Macaca mulatta: one gene and its partners. The protein of the gene in region 1 interacts with the protein of each later gene in a pairwise test. Links are inferred from orthologs where the notes say so. Each region holds a gene or a part of one and is shown in the gene's direction. Other genes may lie near its edges. The genes, in order: ZYX, CASS4, NEBL, VASP and TUFT1.

Region 1 (4,031 bases):
GAAGAAGAAGAAGAAGAAGAAGAAGAAGAAGAAGAAGAAGAAGAAGAAGAAGAAGAAGAAGAAGAAGAAGAAGAAGAAGAAGAAGAAGAAGAAGAAGAAGAAGAAGAAGAAGAAGAAGAAGAAGAAGAACAACTAGAAGAATTACCCGGGTCCGGCCTCTTTCGCGTAGCCTGGGGCTGAGTCGCAGGCTGAGAAATCTGGTCGGGCCAGTAGGGGGCTCCACCAAGCGCAGTCTCAGAATGCCCAAGAGCCCCACCGTCGCCCGGGGTCTTCTAGAGGAGTGGGTAGTGGTGGGCGCTGAAGAGCTGTAAAAGACTAGCAGCCCGCGTCCGCGTCCGTCCTCCCGGGTCCCCAGTCCGCAGGCGGCCGCCGCCTCGGCCCCGCCCTCCCACCTCCATTCCCGGCCCCGCGGGCCCGAACGGTCCCTCTCGCAACCGATCCTATGGCGGGGGCGCGGAGGATGCGAATTCCTAGAAGCCTTAAGAGGCTGCCCAGCGTTGGAAGTTCGTATCCCCGAGAATGCTGGAGGTTCCAGCTCACACACCCCCTCCGAGCACAGAGTCAGCTGGGGGGTGCTGGGAGGGAGAACGCCCCGCTCCTCATCCCCCATCCTTGTGCACCCTGGAGCCCAGCTCCATACGTTCGGCCACCCCAGGCGGACTCGGAGGTGGTCGGGTAGCGGGTGGTGGCGGGAGGGGACCGGGTAACTGCAGGCCGGAGAGGAGGTCGCTGGGCCGGGCCGGAGGCGCACAGGGGCTGCGTGGCTACCTCTGCGGCACCGCCCCACCTCCGCCGGCTAAGCCCGGAGGGGGACGGTGAGTCAGATCTCGGGCACCCGCGGGTCGGGCATGGGGGGAGGGCAGGTCAGGAAATGACATCAGAGGCCTGTGCTCAGGGAGCGGGGGTCTGAGCCGGGCCGGGGCGGCGGGGGCGGCAGTGAGTGGAGTGGGGTGGCGGCGGGCGGACCTCGGCGGAGCCTCTGGCCTGAGGCAGGATCAGGGCCCCTTCCTGGGGGAGTTTCCTGCCTGGTCCGCCCTTCCCCGCTCTCCCCGCCCCCTCTCCGGGCCGCTCCTTGTATGGTCTGGGCGCCGCTCTCTCCCCGCCCCCTCCCTCCTCCCTCCCTCCTCCTTCCGTGTGTCCCTCCCCGCCCGGCTGGAGGCTGCTCCGGACTGGGACGCAGAGTCCGTGGACCCGGCGCCGAGGAGGCCACCCGAGACGCGGCGCGCACGCTCCGGCCCGCGGTGAGGTGCGGGGAGCGGCAGGGCGGCCCCACGGGGAGGGGGCGCGGGGCGCCGGGAGGGGGCGCATGGGGGTCGCCAAGGGGAGCTGGGACCGCCCGGGGCTCCTGAGCCGGGCTCTGCGCTGCGTAACCCGGCGACCCACCCCAGCAGCCCGGCCCGGCCATGGCGGCCCCCCGCCCGTCTCCCGCGATCTCCGTTTCGGTCTCGGCTCCGGCTTTTTACGCCCCCCAGAAGAAGTTCGGCCCTGTGGTGGCCCCAAAACCCAAAGTGAATCCCTTCCGGCCCGGGGACAGCGAGCCTCCCCCGGCACCCGGGGCCCAGCGCGCACAGATGGGCCGGGTGGGCGAGATTCCCCCGCCGCCCCCGGAAGGTATGCGGCGGGGCTTGGGGGCTGGACCCCAGCGGGCGCCGGAGGGGGGGCACTGTTTCGGGAATCTGGGGATGTCTGGAAAGGTTGTTGCCTAGGGGGCTGGGCGCAGCCACCCTGTCCCGAGCAGATGTTCTTACCTCATCGTGGAGCTCGTGGCTGGGAGCCAGAGCTCCTGGGACCGTTCCAAGTCCCCCGCTTGGGGGTGGGAGGCGGGAATGTGGGGCACGAATCTTCCCCTCCGGGTCCGTTTTCCGAAGTGTAACGGGAGCTGCACCACTCCTCGGCCGTGCCCCCGGCCTTTCCTGACCTGGTACTCCCAGGGCGCCCTGCGCCCCGCCTTTGCGTCCCCACACGCTCTGGGACCCTCGAGAGAATTCTTGGGTTAGGGGTTAGAGCGGTAAACCGAGGGGAGCTTGGGTGAGGGGCAGAGGGACCCCGGGCGACGTCTTTCTCCTTCCTACCCCAGACTTTCCCCTGCCTCCACCTCCCCTCGCCGGGGATGGCGACGATGCGGAGGGTGCTCTGGGAGGTGCCTTCCCGCCGCCCCCTCCGCCGATCGAGGAATCATTTCCCCCTGCGCCTCTGGAGGAGGAGATCTTCCCTTCCCCGCCGCCTCCTCTGGAAGAGGAGGGAGGGCCTGAGGCCCCCATACCGTCCCCACCGCAGGTATGGAGGCCTGGGAGGGGCGGCTGTACCGGACACCCCCAAGGCGAGGAGAAGAGGGCCCTTTCTTACCTCCCCTGCACCTCTGCCTTGGGGGTGGGGGGAATGGAGGCATGGAATAGGTGCTCTGACCTCTGACCCTCTAGCCCAGGGAGAAGGTGAGCAGTATTGATTTGGAGATCGACTCTCTGTCCTCACTGCTGGATGACATGACCAAGAATGATCCTTTCAAAGCTCGGGTAAGGGACCGCAAAGTAGGAAAAGCAGGGCCCAGGGCCAGAGAGACAGGGGATAGAGCTATGGAGGATGGTGTCCTCCTGTCTGCATCTCTCTTCCCTCTCCCACCCCTTGCAGGTGTCATCTGGATATGTCCCCCCACCAGTGGCCACTCCATTCATTTCCAAGTCCAGTACTAAGCCTGCAGCTGGGGGCACAGCACCCCTGCCTCCTTGGAAGGCCCCTTCCAGCTCCCAGCCTCTGCCCCAGGTTCCGGCTCCAGCTCAGAGCCAGACACAGTTCCATGTTCAGCCCCAGCCCCAGCCCAAGCCTCAGGTCCAACTCCATGTCCAGTCCCAGCCCCAGCCTGTGTCTTTGGCTAACACCCAGCCCCGAGGTCCCCCAGCCTCATCGCCAGCTCCAGCCCCTAAGTTTTCTCCAGTGACTCCTAAGTTTACTCCCGTGGCTTCCAAGTTCAGTCCTGGAGCCCCAGGTGGATCTGGGTCACAGCCAAATCAAAAATTGGGGCATCCCGAAGCTCTTTCCGCTGGCACAGGCTCCCCTCAACCTCCCAGCTTCACCTATGCTCAGCAGAGGGAGAAGCCCCGAGTGCAGGAGAAGCAGCACCCAGTGCCCGCACCGGCTCAGAACCAAAACCAGGTAAGGGATGGTGATAGGACAAGGCTTGGGACCCGGGTGCTGGGGCGGGGCTGAGTCAGGAGCCAGAACAGAAGCATGAAGGTGATTGGAGAGTCAGGGTGGACACGGGGGTGGCGGGATAGGAAGTTTCATCCTCTGAGGTTAGCCTGGTGGAACAGTGGTAAGAAAATGCTCTTCTGGAGGAGAGGCCTGGCTGGGTGTGGGGCTGGGTGGGGCCTGGCTGGGAGGGCACAGAGAGCACAGGCTCTGAATTAGGAGGATCTGGTGGACCTTTCCTTGCGCCTTTACCCCAGAAAGTTAAAGGGAGGGATGAGATCACCAGTCCCACCTTGGTTTTTCCCATTCTTGGGTCTTGACTTAATCTCCCTGCTCCTCTGAGCACTCTTTCTGCCTGAGGGCTTGGAGATAAGAGTCAGCCCCAGTAAACATAGGCTGAGCCAGCATCTACCACGTGCCAGGCACTGTGCTCTGTGCTCAGGAGGGTAGGACATGGGAAGGACGAGATCTCTGCAAGAAGCTCAGCCTTCAGGTGTCAGATGGACCTGGAATGGAATTCCTGGTTCGGGCTTCTCCCAAGCCCTTAGACTGGGCAAGTTAGGTGAACCCTGAGCCTCAGTTTCTCAATCTTTAACATTATCTACTCCATACAGTGATTGTAAAGATTAGGTGAACTAATAACCTAGAGAGTGTTGGGTTCTGTATCTAGCACATGAATGCTCAAAATACAAAAGCTGTAATTACAAAATGGTTCTTGCCTTCTAGTTCAGGAAATAAGACCTTCCAGTTTCTGGTGATGATGATGCTGGTCCAAGCATCCATAGAGTCCACTGATAGTGTGGATGTCTGCTTACACTCAGACACAGCATAGGAAGAAATGCCAA
Region 2 (3,947 bases), on another chromosome or scaffold:
CACCTGCAGTATGCCAATTACTTGGCTCTGGAAGTTAATTTCTAACAACGATAACATTTAAAAATATGGACTGTCTCGGCCAGAAATCAGTCAGCTACTTCAATGGGTAAAATATGTCCTGGTGCCCAGACTTGTGGGGACTACACACCGGACAACCGGAAGACAAGACGCTAAGGCTGTCTGTTGAACTTGTCTCAGAGGCGTGGTAAAAGAAAAGAAGAAAATTTAAAAATAAAAAATAAAAAGATGCTGTCTGACAAGAAGAGAGCAGTGAGCGGAGACACAGCTGGCTGGGGATGGAACTTGAGCCTGGCTTGGAAGAATGGGTACCATTTTGTCTAAATAAAAATGAAGGCCAGGTCCAGGCGTGGTGGCTCACACCTGTAATCTCAGCAGTTTGAGAGGCTGAGGTGGGTGGATCACTTGACATCAGGAGTTTGAGACCAGCTTGGCCAAGATGGTGAAGTCCTGTCTACACTGAAAGTACAAAAATTAGCCAGGCGTGGTGGTGGGTGCCTGTAATCCCAGCTGCTTGGGAGGCTGAGGCAGGAGAATCACTTGAACCCGGGAGGTGGAGGTTGCAGTGAGCCGAGATAGCACCACTGCGCTCCAGCCTGAGTGACAGAGAAAGACTCCATCTCAAAAAAAAAAAAATGCAGACTTACTTTGCACAGTGTCTGCTATGCTGTAGGTCCTCTCTAGAGGTTGGATCTGAATGTAGGGAAAGTAGAAAGAGTTGGCAAGTGATGAGAAACTGCATGAGCTAGCGGGGGTTTCAAGTACAGCACACGCGATTGGTTGATTTGATTTAAGAGAGAGAATACAGGTGTGGGACTCAGCATAGCCCTCAGTGCAGAGCCAGCACCCAGAAGATGTTAATCATTAGGTACCGTGAGCAAAGACCAGGAGGTGAGCACGGGGTTCCGAGCAGGGAGAATGCGCAACTGACAGGGTGGGTAGAGTGGAGACTGTGTCCTTTAAGGCAGCCTGCTTGACTGCTTTTATCCTGGCTGTCATAAGGCAAGTTTTTGGGAGCAGGAAGGAAGAAAAGCTGACCGCTATCGGAAATTTGGCTTAGTGGCCTCTCATCAGGGAAATGAGCTTGGTCTGTCGGGTGGGAGTTGTTCCCCAGAGTTCAAAGGACAAGAATGCTGTATGTTCATACACTGAGCTCTTCAAAGTAGGAACTTCGCCCTATAAAGCAGAAGAGTGGTGTTTTTCTTTTCTTCTTCTTCTTTTGTGGTTTCACATAGCAAATGAGTGACGGTCTCTACTTATAGACAAAGTGAGACGTCAGGCAATGAGGCGTGAGTGTGGCTTGTATTTCTGGTTCTCCCCTCCTTCACTGCTTTCATTTTACTCTTATCGTGCTTTCCAGAAAGTTCGCCTGCTGGGAGAGTCTTTTTGATCGTTTCCCGTGTGTTGTCAGATAGCACCATAGAATTCAGTTTCTGAGAACCAGCCAGAAGCATGCAGTGACATTGCATAATCTGCCTCTGAAGCCGGAGATATTAGCCGTAGAGCTCAGGGCAGCTGCTCCACATCACCGACATGAAGGGAACAGGCGTCGTGGACGGTGCGCCCAAGGTGAGTGATGCGGGGCTGTTTGAATGGGCTCTGGCAGGGAGCAAGCTGTGATGATTAAGGGTATTGACCAGCTTTAGTTGTGACTTTCTAATAAAGGCAAAGGTTGAATACCAGTGACGTGTGAGTTTGAGATTGGAAAGTTTAACATAAGTTTAAGTGTGGGAAATAGATGTGCTGTAAAGCTCCTTAGCAGTTTGCATCCAAGATGGGTGAAAATGACCTTGTAGTAGAAATCAGCTTACTTGGTTGACAGCACCGTCCATCATTTTGTGTCCAGCAAACTTCTGAAGCAAGATGTGAGTCTGCCTCAGCCCCCACTAATTCCTTCTTTCTCTGGACCCCAAAGACACTCAGTGCCACTCCAACTGTTCTGATTGATTTCTGTGCTCACCTCGCAATAGCAGAGCCCAGACCCTTGCCTGTAGCCTCCTGTGCTGAGCCCACAGTGGGCAGTTACATGTTATTTTCATGTTTACTTGTGCATTATGTGAGCAAAGCTGGAGCTTTCAGACAGACTTCATGCCTGTCATGAATCAAAAAAGATTCACTATTTAGAAAGGTAAAAGAAGCCAGGCACAGTGGCACATACCTGTACTCCCAGCTACTGGAGAGGCTGAGGTGAAAGGATTAATTGAGCCTAGAAGTTTGAGTCCAGCCTGGGCAACATAGCAAGACCCCATCTCAAAAAAAAAAAGTTAAAATGGTTACCATATTTAAAAAATTTACCCAGATGTAAAGAAAGTGAAGCTCAAGATTGTGTTTTCATCTTGCTATGCCCTTTTTAAATTTTAAGTAGAACAGTAAAAAAGAAATGAAACAAGTACTAAATGGGGAGCTTGCTTATAAAAAAATCAATGCTTATTTTTAATTATAATAAAAGTGACTAGTGTGGCTGGGTGCAGTGGCTCACACCTGTAATCCCAGCACTTTGGGAGGCCAAGGCAGATGCATCACTTGAGACCAGGAGTTTGAGACCAGCCTGACCAAGACGAAAAACCCCATCTCTACCAAAAATACAACAATTAGCTGAGCATGGTGGTGCATGCCTGTGATCCCAGCTACTCGGGAGACTGAGGCACAAGAACTGCTTGAGCCTGGGAGGCAGAGGTTGCAGTGAGCTGAGATTATACCACTGCACTCCGGCCTAGGTGACAGAGCAAGACTCTGTCTCAAAAAAATCAAAACTAAATAACAAAAGAAAAAAATTGTAAAAGTCACTAGTGGAATTTATGGCTGAGTAACCCATGATAGTCTCTCTTATATAGATTATATGTAAATACCTTAGCTACCCTAGAATTTTGTCCCCAACTACTTACTTTGAAAATTTTCAAACCATTGGAAAAATATGGGGAGCGTGGGGATTATTCAGTAAATCCCTGCATACCTTTCACCTAGATCATGGGTTGATGGTACTTTGTCATATTTGTGTACATCTATTTGTATATATTTAGACACTGGAACACACTTTGTTTTTATTGTTGTTAAACTCTTTGAAAATAAATGGCCAATACAATGATGCTCCACCCCTAAACTTCATTATGTGTCTCCTAAGAACAGAACGTAGAAGAATATCCACATATCATCATCCCCAAGAACATTTCACATTGATTTAATAATGCCATTCTACGATTCAGTCCAATTCACACTGATTTAATAATGCCATTCTACGATTCAGTCCAATTCATATTTTCCAAAGTGATCCTTTGTAGCTTTTCTGGCTGTTGTTATTTGTTTGTGTGTTTGTCTTTCTGATCCAGGTATTGTTTGTCAATTCTCAGTTCTTAATCTAGAACAGTCTACTACCTTTTTCTCTTTCATAACATTGACCTTTTTTCTAAATAGCCTAGATTTTTTTTTATGATTTAGACTTCTTTTTATGTGCTGCTTATTCTGCCTAAATAATTTATGTAGCACTTTACAATTGGGTGGGGTTTCGTTATTTAAAAATAATATATTTAGCAATGGGGGTATCACTCTGTTGTCCAAGCTGGACTCAAATTCCTGAACTCAGGTGATTCTTCTGCCGCAGCCTCCCAAGTAGCTGGGACTACAGGTGCACACCTCCGAGCCCCACTGCAATTTGTAAATAACATGCATGTATGCGTAGAACATGTAATTGATATTCCCAGCATCCCCATGAAATTCTGCTATTAATATTATACAGATAGGCTGGGATCGGTGGCTCACACCTGTAATCCCACCACTTTCAGAGGCTAAAGCGGGTGGATCACTTGAGGTCAGGAGATTAGCCTGGCCAAAATAGTGAAACCCCATCTCTACTAAAAATACAAAAAAATTAGCTGGGCGTAGTGGTGCACGCCTGTATTCCCAGCTATTTGGGAGGCTGAGGCAGGAGAATT
Region 3 (4,176 bases), on another chromosome or scaffold:
ACAGGATATGTGATACCATTAATTTAGCCTTTATCAAAAACTAGTTCAAGACCAATAGCTCCTTCTAGAACACAACATTTTAGCAGAATAGAGCAATATTTCCCTCAGTAATAGGTCATATTTCACAGAGGAGTGTTAGTTTTCTGGGGTAGTGGGTATAATTAAAAAAAAGTGATAGGTAGATAGAAAGATAGGTAGGTAGGTAGATTAGATTAAATTGGATTAGATTTGATGAGATAGATAGGTTTTGTGTTCAGGGGAAAAGGAGGTTAAGCAAGCCTAAGTAGGTTTTTTGGTTGAAGGTCTTCTCAGAACTTCTAATGTGTCAGTATGCCTTGTAGATCTCTAAGTGGCAGGGGCAGAGATTGGGGTACAGATTTCCCAAACGTATTTGTTTAAGAAACCTGCTCTTCTCCCCCAGAATCTTTTGTGGAACTTTTGCCTCATGAAACACAATTTCAGAAATAATTTGTACACGATGACTGTGTAGAATGTTTTTCTTGTTAGGGTTTTCAGTTTAGGTAAGGCCGAGGCATTTTTTTAATAACACATTGAAAACTAGATATGATATCAAGAGAAAAAGAGTTATGCTTGGCTACTTAGAATGATGTATTATTTTTAATAAATTTGTATTTTCTGTCATCAGTATTACTATTCCTTGTAGAGTATTTTTTTATGCCCGACGCTAATATGCTATGACTTGGTAAAATTAATTTCCCCTAGGATTTAAATAACCAGATTAATAAATCGTGAGTTGTAGAGAGTCTTGGAATTGCCTGAATTGACATTAAAATATTTGTTTTGAAAAATGTATTTTTAACCTTGGTTTTACATAACCAAGGACACATACCACATTATAAATATTGTGATGGTTTATTTTTCCAAACTTTTCTGAATGTGGGGTACCCATTGAGTAATAATGCACATCACCAATGAATCTGTAAAAATTGACATGATGAGTAGAATTGCAGAATTCAAAGATGATGATGATTATTTTTGAAACAGTGATGTTTCTAGAATTGTTAAATTATATATCAACGTGTGTTAACTGCAACTTCTCATGTTTAATGATGTTTACAATTAATACAATACCATACTCGCCAGTATAAGACTAACAGTCATCATTAACTCAGAATAGATTCTTTGAAGTGGTTCAAAGGGCTTTTCATAATAAATAACTAGCCTCTAATCAGCTAATATAAAGTGGGTATTTTTTAGGATGTGAGAAGTACTGGTGTGTCTGATAAAACATATAATTTGGGTTAACAAAATGAGCTTGAATGATCCAGATTCTCTACCCCAAGTCAGAAAGAAGTCCGACATTCCAGTGAAAGCTTTATTTAGACAGAGATGAGGAGTCTTTGAGATAACAGGCTTTGGACTGTGCTATCTTGAGTGTTAGAGCTGAGTAGTTTTTGTGGAATCTCTAAGTCCTTTTTACACTCTTTTATGAATGAATAGAATTAGTAAAAGATAAATAAATTTTCTCTTTTGGATTTCTTAACCAGTGGAAAAAATGTTGACTTTAAAAGTTCATAAAATCAAGTTTTGCCCAAGAATATGTTATGTCCACTTGTGAGGCCAGCCTGGTAGACCTCTGGGATCCTGTTCTGTTCACTCACACACCACTGAGATAAGGAGTGAAGTGTGGGCTAAATAGGGCTGAGGCTTGGGCAAGGGCGTTTCGAACAGAGCACCAGAGACATCAGCATCTCAAGGGCACTGTGGTACAAAAAAGGACGCCACATGAGTAAATTTTAAAAATAACTATTTTAAAGGGTAAAAATGAGGGTCCCTGTATTTGAGGATGTAAAAGATGAAACTGAAGAAGAAACAATAGGGGAAGAAGAAAATGAAGAAGACCGGGTGAGTAAGAAAACACATACTCATGACCAGCGTTTGTTCCTCTAAATTGATGATGAGAAAAATGTTCTCTTTCTTTCTTTCTTTTTTTTTTCATATAGGTCTTCTATAAGCCTGTTATTGAAGACTTAAGCATGGAATTGGCCAGAAAATGCATGCAACTCATTAGTGATGTAAGTGGCTGGAGTACTTTCTGTCTTATTTTGCATTGCACCTGTGGTATTATTATGTTATAGAGGCATAGAGCTGTGGGGGAAACCCTGAAATCACCTTTTAAAACACAGTCACTTTCCAGATCATGGAACAAAGTCCTGAAATTCTAAGTGATTTCGCCAAGGTCACCTATACAGAGAATTTCTGCTAGAGCAAGTCTCCTCATTCTTAATCCAGAATCCTGTCCCTTATGAGGTTTGCTGTCACTCTGGCATGAAATCATAAGGCATTGAATTGCAGTATTTATTCCATTTGAGAACTCCCAAAGATTTTAAAATGAATGTAATGATGTAATTTGTCTTGGGAGGCCCTCTATCTAAATGAGTAGTCATTTTTTAACATTTTGGGGCATTCTGAAGAATCTAATGAATGGACTTGTCTTTCAGAACAGGAAAATGCATATATATATATATCTATGCATATAACTTCTATTTACAATTCAGGATTTGTGGATTACCAAGCTGCTTGCTAAGAACCCTGATATTAGAGAAGGATATTAGTGCAAGGGGCATTTTTGTTGTGACATTTTTTAGTAACTGGGATTGGTCAATATTACACTTCAAGGGAATCCCAGAATATATTGAATGATTGAACGTATAGTTTTATGTTAAATATGTAAGCTAGAATTCAAGAAGTACAAGGAAAAATGTTGCTCACCAGGAATGAGAATTTAGATGATCCTCATTAACAGTTCTAAGAGGATTGCTGGTCCAGAGGAAGGGTGACTCCTGTAGAGTGAATATGTGCCTGTGTCTTCATTTAGAGAGATGAGCACAATACTGGTTGTTTCTGTTGTTGATAATGAGCAAGATGATCAGAATGTTTTGCACGTTTGTTTTCAAAGGGAAGTCAGTCCTGGGCAGGAGGACAATGGGCTGGCACGTCCTCCAAAGTCAATCTGCCTGGGTTGACTCCACAATAACCTTGGAAAGGTTATGTAACCTGGCTGGGCTCCATCCCTCAGCTGTAACATTTATAATAAGATTAAATAATGGTAATGCATCTAAAATGCTGAATAAACTATCTGGAACATTGTGAGTACTCCATAAATGTTAGCTGTTATTAACTACTCTGTCTGTTACTTACTTTTACATCCATCCAATCACAGTTTAGATATGACTGGCTCTTTTTGACAAACCAGAAGACAAGCATAAAGGATGATGGTGGAAATCATACCCTTTCCCATATACTTGACATGTGATGTAATTACCCTTTAAATTAAGTATTTCTTTGTGCTATTACTTAATAGTCATTAGCTATTGTATGTGAAAGTTATTTGTAAATTGCAATAATAATAAATGACGACAACAACAACAATAACAATATTGGCAACAGTTAAGATTTAGTGACTACTATGTGCAGGGATTGCAGCTTGCGAGGTAGGCACTATGCTGTTTCTCATTTTTGAAGTGAAGAGATAGAGGCACAGAGAGGTTCAGTACCTTGCCTGGGTCACACAGTTAAGCAGCGGCAGTAATATTTGAACACAAAGGCCTCCCTCTTACACTGCCAAGTTATCTCTCACTGTAGGTTTCCATGAAATGTTGTTCTTTGCCTTATTATTATTACGCTACTATTAGTAGTAGTAATGCTACCTACTAAAACTCTTAAGTTCCTAACCTCTTCCAGCTTTGATATATTTTTATTGAAGTGCAATTATAACTGAGCTAACTTGTGTTACATAAACCATCAGGACTAAAGTAGTAACTGTAGTTAGTAGGTGATTTTGTTGGAGTTGTTTTGGGTAAGATTGTTTATCAGTGACTTTAAAACCAATGTGTTGCCGGGCGCGGTGGCTCAAGCCTGTAATCCCAGCACTTTGGGAGGCCGAGACGGGTGGATCACGAGGTCAGGAGATCGAGACCATCCTGGCTAACACGGTGAAACCCCGTCTCTACTAAAAAATACAAAAAACTAGCCGGGCGAGGTGGTGGGCGCCTGTAGTCCCAGCTATTCCGGAGGCTGAGGCAGGAGAATGGCGTGAACCCGGGAGGCGGAGCTTGCAGTGAGCTGAGATCCGGCCACTGTACTCCAGCCTGGGCGACAGAGCGAGACTCTGTCTCAAAAAAAAAAAAAAAAAAAAAAACCAATGTGTTGTGG
Region 4 (3,513 bases), on another chromosome or scaffold:
CAAACGATTCACCTGCCCTAGCCTCCCGAATAGCTGGGACTACAGGCATGAGCCACCACACCCGGGTAATTTTTTGTGTCCTTAGTAGAGACAGGGTTTCACCATGTTAGCCAGGATGGTTTCGATCTCTTGACCTCGTGATCCGCCCGCCTAGGCCTCCCAGAGTGTTGGGATTACAGGTGTGAGCCACCACGCCTGGCCTTTGTAATTTTAGTAGAGAAGGGGTTTCACCATATTGGCCAGGCTGGTTTTGAACTCCTGGCCTCAAGTGATCCACCTGCCTCTGCCTCCCAAAGTGCTGGGATTATAAGTGTGAGCCACCACGCCCAGCCACCTGGATCATTTCAAAATTGCTTTTTTACTTTTTGTGGAGATGGTCTACAGGCTGGTCTCAAACTCCTGGGCTCAAGTGATCCACTTCAGCTTCCTAAAGTGCTGGGATTGCAGGCATGAGCCACTACACCCAGTCCAGTTGCTTTTCTTTTTTTTTCTTCCTTTTTTTTTTTTTTGATATGGAGTGTCTGTCTGTCTCAGGCTGGAGTGCAGTGGTGTGATCTCGGTTCACTGCAACCTCTGCCTCCTGGGTTTAAGCAATTCTGCCTCAGCCTCCCGAGTAGATGGAACTACAGGTGCATACCACCATGCCTGGCTAATTTTTGTAGTTTTAGTAGAGACGGGGTTTCGCCACGTTGGCCGGGCTGATCTCGAACTCCTGACCTCAGGTGATCCACTCGCCTTGGCCTCCCATAGTGCTGAGATTACAGGAGCAAGCCAGGCGCCCAGCCCAGTTGCTATTTCTTAAACCTTAACATGCACATGAATCACCTGGGGATATGGTTACAGTGCAGGCTCCGGTGCAAATGGGCTAGGGAGACTGAGACTCTGCATTCTCACAAGTGCCCTGGTGATACCGAGGCTGCTGGTCCGCGGATGTGACTGAGTAGCGAGGTTTTATGTGACTGCCATGCATCTGGCCTGGAATCACTGCTGTAGAACTGAAAGTCACCAAATGCAGCGGTGTTTGCTTTGTGGGGCAACTTCTGTGCTAGTGCGGAAGGGGTTTGCTCCTCTGGGGCACACAGAAAAATACAGTGCGCTTCAGTGTAGTCATCTGTAAAATGGGGCTAATTCTTGTTAATTCATAGCCAATTCAATTCAGGTGGGTGCTGGGGCCAGCAGCCTGGAGGTAGGTGAGGAAGAAGCTCTTTACCTTTCCAGGTTCTTAGGTAAGGTCCAAGTGGCTGTGACAGTGGTTAAGAGCTGGCCAGGGGCCAGGTGCAGTGGCTCACGCCTGTAATCCCAACACTTTGGGAGGCCGAGGCGAGTGGATCACTTGCGGTCAGGAGTTTGAGACCAGCCTAGCCAATATGGTGAAACCTCATCTCTACTAAAAATACAAAAATTAGCCAGGATGGTGGCAGGTGCCTATAATCCCAGCTACTCAGGAGGCTGAGGCAGGAGAATCTCTTGAACCCGGGAGGCGGAAGTTGCGGCGAGCTAAGATCACACCATTGCACTCCAGCCTGGGGGACAAGAGCGAGACTTCATCTCAAAAAAAAAAAAAAAAAAACGAGCTGGCCAGGTGCTGTGGCTCATGTCTGTAATCCCAGAACTTTGAGAGGCCGAGGTGGTTGGATAGCTTGAGCTCAGGCGTTTGAGACCAGCCTGGGTAACATAGCAAAATCCCATCTGTACAAAAAAAAAATGATTAGCCAGGCGTGGTGAAATGTGCCCGTAGTCCCAGCTACTCGGGAGGCTGAGGTTGGAGGATCACCTGAGCCTGGGGAGACTGAGACTGTGGTTAGCCGTGATTGCGCCACTGCATTCCACAGCCTGGGTGACAGTGAGACTCTGTCTCGAAACAAACCAACAGTGGTTAAGAGCCTGGCTGCTGGAATCGGCCTGAATTCAAGTCTTGTTCCTGCACATTCCAACCTGGAGAACTTTGGGGCAAGTGACTGTCCCCTGGGCCTTAGCTTCTCCTGTCACTGGGACATCACAACAACACCTGCCTTAGGGCAACTCAGGCCAGGGAGGCTGGTGCTGCCTCACCTCCCAGGGTGTGTCCTCCTGGGCCTGGAGCCTCAGGGCCTCAGGAAGGAGGAAGTGAGTGCCCCTGGGCAGGATTCCTGGGAGGCCTGGAAGAGCAAGGGAAACGCCAAGGGCTGAGCAGAGTTCCGGGACTGACTTGTGGCCCTTTCTCTCTCACCTTCCAGGAGGTGGGCCCCCTCCACCCCCAGCACCTCCCACCTGGTCGGTCCCGAACGGTCCCTCCCTGGAGGAGGTGGAGCAGCAGAAAAGGTGGGGCTGGGCCCTGGGTGGGGAACCTTAGCCACGGCCAGTTCCATACGTTCTGGAACCCTTGACTCCTAGAGTTCAGAACCCAGCCAACTTGCAGTTTTCAGAATGTTCAAGAAATTTCTGACACTGAGAGTTGCAGAACCTCCTGGTCCCTGCAGATTCCTGGAAATCAGAATATGGTGGTTGAAAGAATCTCGTGGCTGGGCGTGGTGACTCACCCCTGTAATCCCAGCACTCTGGGAGGCTGAGGCGGGCAGATCACCTGAGGTCAGAAGTTTGAGACCAGCCTGGCCAACACGGTGAAATCCTGTCTCTACTGCAGATACAAAAATTAGCCGGGCATGGTGGCGCCCGTGCCTGTAATCCCAGCTTGGGAGGATGAAGCAGGAGAATCGCTTGAACCTGGGAGGCGGGGGTTGCAGTAAGCCAAGATCGAGCCACTGCACTCCAGCCTGGGTGACAGAGTGAGACTCTGTCTTTAAAAAAAAAAAAAAAAAAAAAAAGAATCTTGGGCATTTTGTCATTCGGGTGTTCCTGACAGTTTAGTGACTGAGATCTTGCATTCGATCTCTCCCTGTCACTGCCCTGCCCTCCATTCCCCCCACTCTCACCCACCCCCATTCTTGGTTCCCTAGGGGAGGAAGGCTTGGGTGAGGATTAGGAGCCAGCGTCCCTGGAGACCTCTGAGAGAGAGGATGGAGGTCGCTGGCCCCTTCCCTGGTCATCCTTAGGGCCCTGATTGACGGCAGCTCCCTCACCTCCCCCTACAGGCAGCAGTCCGGCCCGTCGGAGCACCTAGAGCGCCGGGTCTCCAATGCAGGTGATGCTCAGATGGCTTCGGGAGTTGGGAGGGGGCCTCCCTGGAGGAAGAGGCCAGCTAGCTGGACAGTGAAGAACGAAGCTTCTCTTTCAGCTGCCCCCTTTTCTGTGTTTGTTTCAGGAGGCCCACCTGCTCCCCCAGCTGGGGGTCCACCCCCACCACCAGGACCTCCCCCTCCTCCAGGTCCCCCCCCACCCCCAGGTTTGCCCTCCTCGGGGGTCCCAGCTGCAGCACATGGAGCAGGGGGAGGACCACCCCCTGCACCCCCTCTCCCGGCAGCACAGGGTCCTGGTGGTGGGGGAGCTGGGGCCCCAGGCCTGGCCGCAGCTATTGCTGGAGCCAAACTCAGGAAAGTCAGCAAGGTGAGGGGCCAGGAGAGGTGGGAAGGGGCA
Region 5 (3,513 bases), on another chromosome or scaffold:
AACTTTCGACCCTTCATACGTGATCCATTAATCCACGGATACTTAAGTACTATGTGCCTAGCACTGTCCCCAGCCACCTATCGAAAATTACCAGCCAACTTTTCACAGCATTTCTTCACTCCCTTCCTGGCTCATGTTTCTCATGGGCACTTATGCCCATATAACATATTACACATTTTACTTATTTGTCTTTTGTGTTGTGTGTGTCTCCCCAACAAGAATGTCAGCTGTAGCCCCACTTGACCAGGGTACCTCTCTCCATCCTACGGCCAGTAGTTAGGACAGTGCCTGACTCATAGTCCAGGCCGGGGATGGTGCACAGAGTTGGGTGAGTTGGCGTGCTCTCTTTCTCTACCCTAAAGCTCAAGTTTCTTCCCCTCCCCTCCCAGGCCAGGAACTGCCTACAGAAGCTCCGGGAGGATATAAGTAGCAAGCTTGACAGGGACCTAGGAGATTCTCTCCATCGACAGGAGATACAGGTAATAGGAAACGGTCCATGGTTGGGTCCCCACCGAGGAAGTGGGGTTGTGCCAGGCAGTCTCATTTACCAATTACCCAGTGTGTGCTCAGTCTGGCATCTCTGCCAGGAATGGAGAAAATAGAGGTGATGCTGGCTTCTCTGGAGCACTCACAATCTGGTTAGGACTCTCCAGCCGATGAGCACTTACATTTACACATGTCAGCTTAAGCATAAGTACACCTGCTCCTGAAACATTGTACAGAAATTGAACTTACACAAATTAAATATCATCAGTTGTTAGCAAAGCCTCTTATCTATAAGGATTCTGTGATCAAGCTTCCTGTAATAATGGAATTTTATAAAGCAGACAATCACCTGTAAATCCACACTTCTCATAAGCTGATCTTGCTTAGTTTGGGTGGCACCTGTAGTGTGAATTGAAGTCCGTGCCCTAGCCTGTTATTAATCTTCTATATAGTTATGTCTAACCTGGGATGGGAAGCTCCTCAAGGTTAGGAGTTCACCCCACCCCCATCCCGTGTCTGTATCCTCACCCTCCCTCTCTCCCCAGGTCTGGGATGTAGAAGGCATCAGTAAATGTTTGTTAGACTGAACAGATTGGATAAGTCTTTCCTGGGATGGATAATCCTGGGATCTTGCTTTTCAGTTTTTCCAAAACTCGAAGATAGACATGCCCTTGGGAGAACAGAGCTGTCTCTTTGTGACTTCGCCCTCATCCTTTAGATTCTGAGTTGTATCTTTGATTTGCATTTTGGTTCGGGCAGGGTGTCTTGCTCCAGCAGCAGCCCCTGCCTTCGTTCCCTTGAGGGGAACAGCGGCCCAGCAGCTGGTGCAAGGAAAGTTCTTTGTCTTGGACATGCACTTGTGTGGTGGAACATTTCCTAATTTTTGCTTTGGCTGAAGGCAGGCCTTTCAGTGCCTGAGCTCACATCTGGCTGGTGGGAGCTCCTTTGTCAGGTGGCAGAAGAACCTAATGTGCACAGAGACTGGCCCAAAGTCCAGTCCCCTTGTTTGCCCAAACCAGCTGTCATATGATGAATAATCAGGCTTTGGGTCAGAAATAATTTAAAAAGGCTTCCCTTTGTAATTTTTGCTTTGTCAAACTTTGCCAGGATCCCTGGGGGCAAGGGAAACTCTTTGTTTGTGTCAGGCAGCTGCACTTATTCCCTGGCTAAGAAGAATGGACTACACATACTTTTCTATCTGCTGAAAGGTTTTAGCCTGAGGTTTTTTTTCATCCTCCCTATAAGGCTAGGGTGTTCCCTTTCAAGGCCACACACATTTCTCCACCCCCTCTTGTTTCTGTTTTCTCTGGGAACACTAGGAATCTTTTTTTCTTTCCCTTCCTTCCCTCTTCCTCTTTTCTTTTCTTAATTCCTTCCTTTTTCTCCCTCCCTGTCTTTTTCTCTCTCCCTGCCTCCCTTTCACCTTCCTCTCTCTCTCCCTGTCTTTCTCTAAGATTTGAGTGTTAGGAGAATAATGTTCAAAGTTGGTTGCTTTCATCTGTTTTAACTCCCAGTTTTATTTTTCTTTGAACAGGTGGTGCTAGAAAAGCCAAATGGCTTTAGTCAGAGTCCCACGGCCCTGTACAGCAGCCCACCTGAGGTGGGTAACAGAGGACACAACGGTGGCTCTGCTTAGCCAGGGGCAGGATTGCCTCCTCCCCATCCTTTTGTTTATTGCTTTCTCTCTCTCTCTCTCATTAAATACAAGAGTAGTAGTTGACATAAAAATTCAAACAACAAGAGAAATATAAAGAGTGGAAATTCTCCTTCCCCAATCTCACTCCTTACAAGTATCCACTGTTAACAGATTGAAGTGGGTGGATCTTTCTAGGGCAGTGCTTCTCAGCCTCAGCTGCTCATTGGAATGGCCTTGCAAGCTTTAAAGGATATGATGCCTGGGTCCCATCCCTAGAGCTTGTCATTTCATTGTTCCAATAGGTGGCCTGGGCATCAGGACTTTTAAGAGCTCTTCAGGTGATACTAATGTTTAGCTAAAGTTGAGTGCCAGTATTCTAGAATATTTTTATATACATAGACAACCATATTTAAATATCATGTATATGTTATATACATACCATATATACATGATAAATATATGTATATAATATATATGTGCTTTTCTCAACTATAGGATGGTAAATACATTTTTCTTTGCTTGCTTTTTTTTTTTAACTAAAGAGTATATTATAACCTTCTTTCCATGTCAGTATATAATAGATCTACCTCATTCTTTTGAATAACTACATAGTATTTCCTTCCATGGCTGTACTTGATCAATTGACTGATTGACTGACAGAGTCTTACTCTGTCACCCAGGATGCAGTGCAGTGGTGTGATCTTGGCTCACTGCAACCTCCGCCTCCTGGGTTCAAGCAATTCTCGTGCCTCAGCCTCCTGAGTAGCTGGGACTACAGGCATGAGCCACCACGCCTGGCTAATGTTTGTATTTTTAGTAGAGATGGGGTTTCACCATGTTGGCCAAGCTGGTCTCGAACTCCTGACCTCAGGTGATCCACCCACCTCGGCCTCCCAAAGTGTTAGGATTACAGGCATGAGCCACTGCACCCGGCCACCATGACTGTATTTTTTAAAAGTGTGTTATTATGTTTTTTTGTGATTATATAATACCAAACATTCATACTGTAGAAAATTTGGAAAATTCAGAAACACAGAAAAGTGAAAGAAGAAAAAAATGTCGCTTGTAATCTACTCAGAGAAAAACCACAGTGAAATTTCATCTTTCCCTGAATGCAAATATATATTTATAATATTCACATTGTACAGTATGTGGCATGTCTTTATAATTGTTTTTTTTTTTTTGTTTCTTTAGTTGGGTATGTTTTGGCATTTGGTGTTTTTGGCCCTCAGGTATAGGTTGAATCAGACCCACCCATTAGTTCATGGCACATCGTCCTCGTGGGTCCTGTCAAGTCCTCTCACTGGTTTTAGTTTTTGTTTTTTGGTTTTTTTGCCTCTCCACCTCCTGCAAGAGGCACTCACTCTAATGAATTCAATATATGGCTTTAA

What was found.
Region 2: the proteins of ZYX (region 1) and CASS4 interact in binary tests that used the Homo sapiens proteins (3 or more experiments, as listed by UniProt). The link is inferred for Macaca mulatta from reciprocal best matches to the Homo sapiens genes ZYX and CASS4.
Region 3: the proteins of ZYX (region 1) and NEBL interact in a two-hybrid assay, tested with the Homo sapiens proteins (2 studies listed by BioGRID and IntAct). The link is inferred for Macaca mulatta from reciprocal best matches to the Homo sapiens genes ZYX and NEBL.
Region 4: the proteins of ZYX (region 1) and VASP interact in binary tests that used the Homo sapiens proteins (3 or more experiments, as listed by UniProt). The link is inferred for Macaca mulatta from reciprocal best matches to the Homo sapiens genes ZYX and VASP.
Region 5: the proteins of ZYX (region 1) and TUFT1 interact in binary tests that used the Homo sapiens proteins (3 or more experiments, as listed by UniProt). The link is inferred for Macaca mulatta from reciprocal best matches to the Homo sapiens genes ZYX and TUFT1.

Annotation. Positions count from the first base shown.
Region 1 is NC_133408.1:183,412,234-183,416,264, forward strand, and holds the start of ZYX (zyxin), read left to right. Parts: upstream 1-1,218; 5' UTR 1,219-1,246; intron 1,247-1,391; 5' UTR 1,392-1,403; coding exon 1,404-1,611; intron 1,612-2,077; coding exon 2,078-2,277; intron 2,278-2,420; coding exon 2,421-2,513; intron 2,514-2,628; coding exon 2,629-3,150; intron 3,151-4,031. UniProt on the Homo sapiens protein: Adhesion plaque protein. Binds alpha-actinin and the CRP protein. Important for targeting TES and ENA/VASP family members to focal adhesions and for the formation of actin-rich structures.
Region 2 is NC_133415.1:109,181,018-109,184,964, forward strand, and holds the start of CASS4 (cas scaffolding protein family member 4), read left to right. Parts: upstream 1-1,137; 5' UTR 1,138-1,551; coding exon 1,552-1,587; intron 1,588-3,947. UniProt on the Homo sapiens protein: Docking protein that plays a role in tyrosine kinase-based signaling related to cell adhesion and cell spreading. Regulates PTK2/FAK1 activity, focal adhesion integrity, and cell spreading.
Region 3 is NC_133414.1:22,388,076-22,392,251, reverse strand, and holds the start of NEBL (nebulette), read left to right. Parts: upstream 1-1,367; 5' UTR 1,368-1,785; coding exon 1,786-1,866; intron 1,867-1,964; coding exon 1,965-2,036; intron 2,037-2,733; exon of another isoform or gene 2,734-2,939; intron 2,940-4,176. UniProt on the Homo sapiens protein: Binds to actin and plays an important role in the assembly of the Z-disk. May functionally link sarcomeric actin to the desmin intermediate filaments in the heart muscle sarcomeres.
Region 4 is NC_133424.1:58,051,504-58,055,016, forward strand, and holds part of VASP (vasodilator-stimulated phosphoprotein), read left to right. Parts: intron 1-2,216; coding exon 2,217-2,301; intron 2,302-3,071; coding exon 3,072-3,121; intron 3,122-3,241; coding exon 3,242-3,483; intron 3,484-3,513. UniProt on the Homo sapiens protein: Ena/VASP proteins are actin-associated proteins involved in a range of processes dependent on cytoskeleton remodeling and cell polarity such as axon guidance, lamellipodial and filopodial dynamics, platelet activation and cell migration.
Region 5 is NC_133406.1:115,513,874-115,517,386, reverse strand, and holds part of TUFT1 (tuftelin), read left to right. Parts: intron 1-389; coding exon 390-479; intron 480-2,020; coding exon 2,021-2,086; intron 2,087-3,513. UniProt on the Homo sapiens protein: Involved in the structural organization of the epidermis. Involved in the mineralization and structural organization of enamel.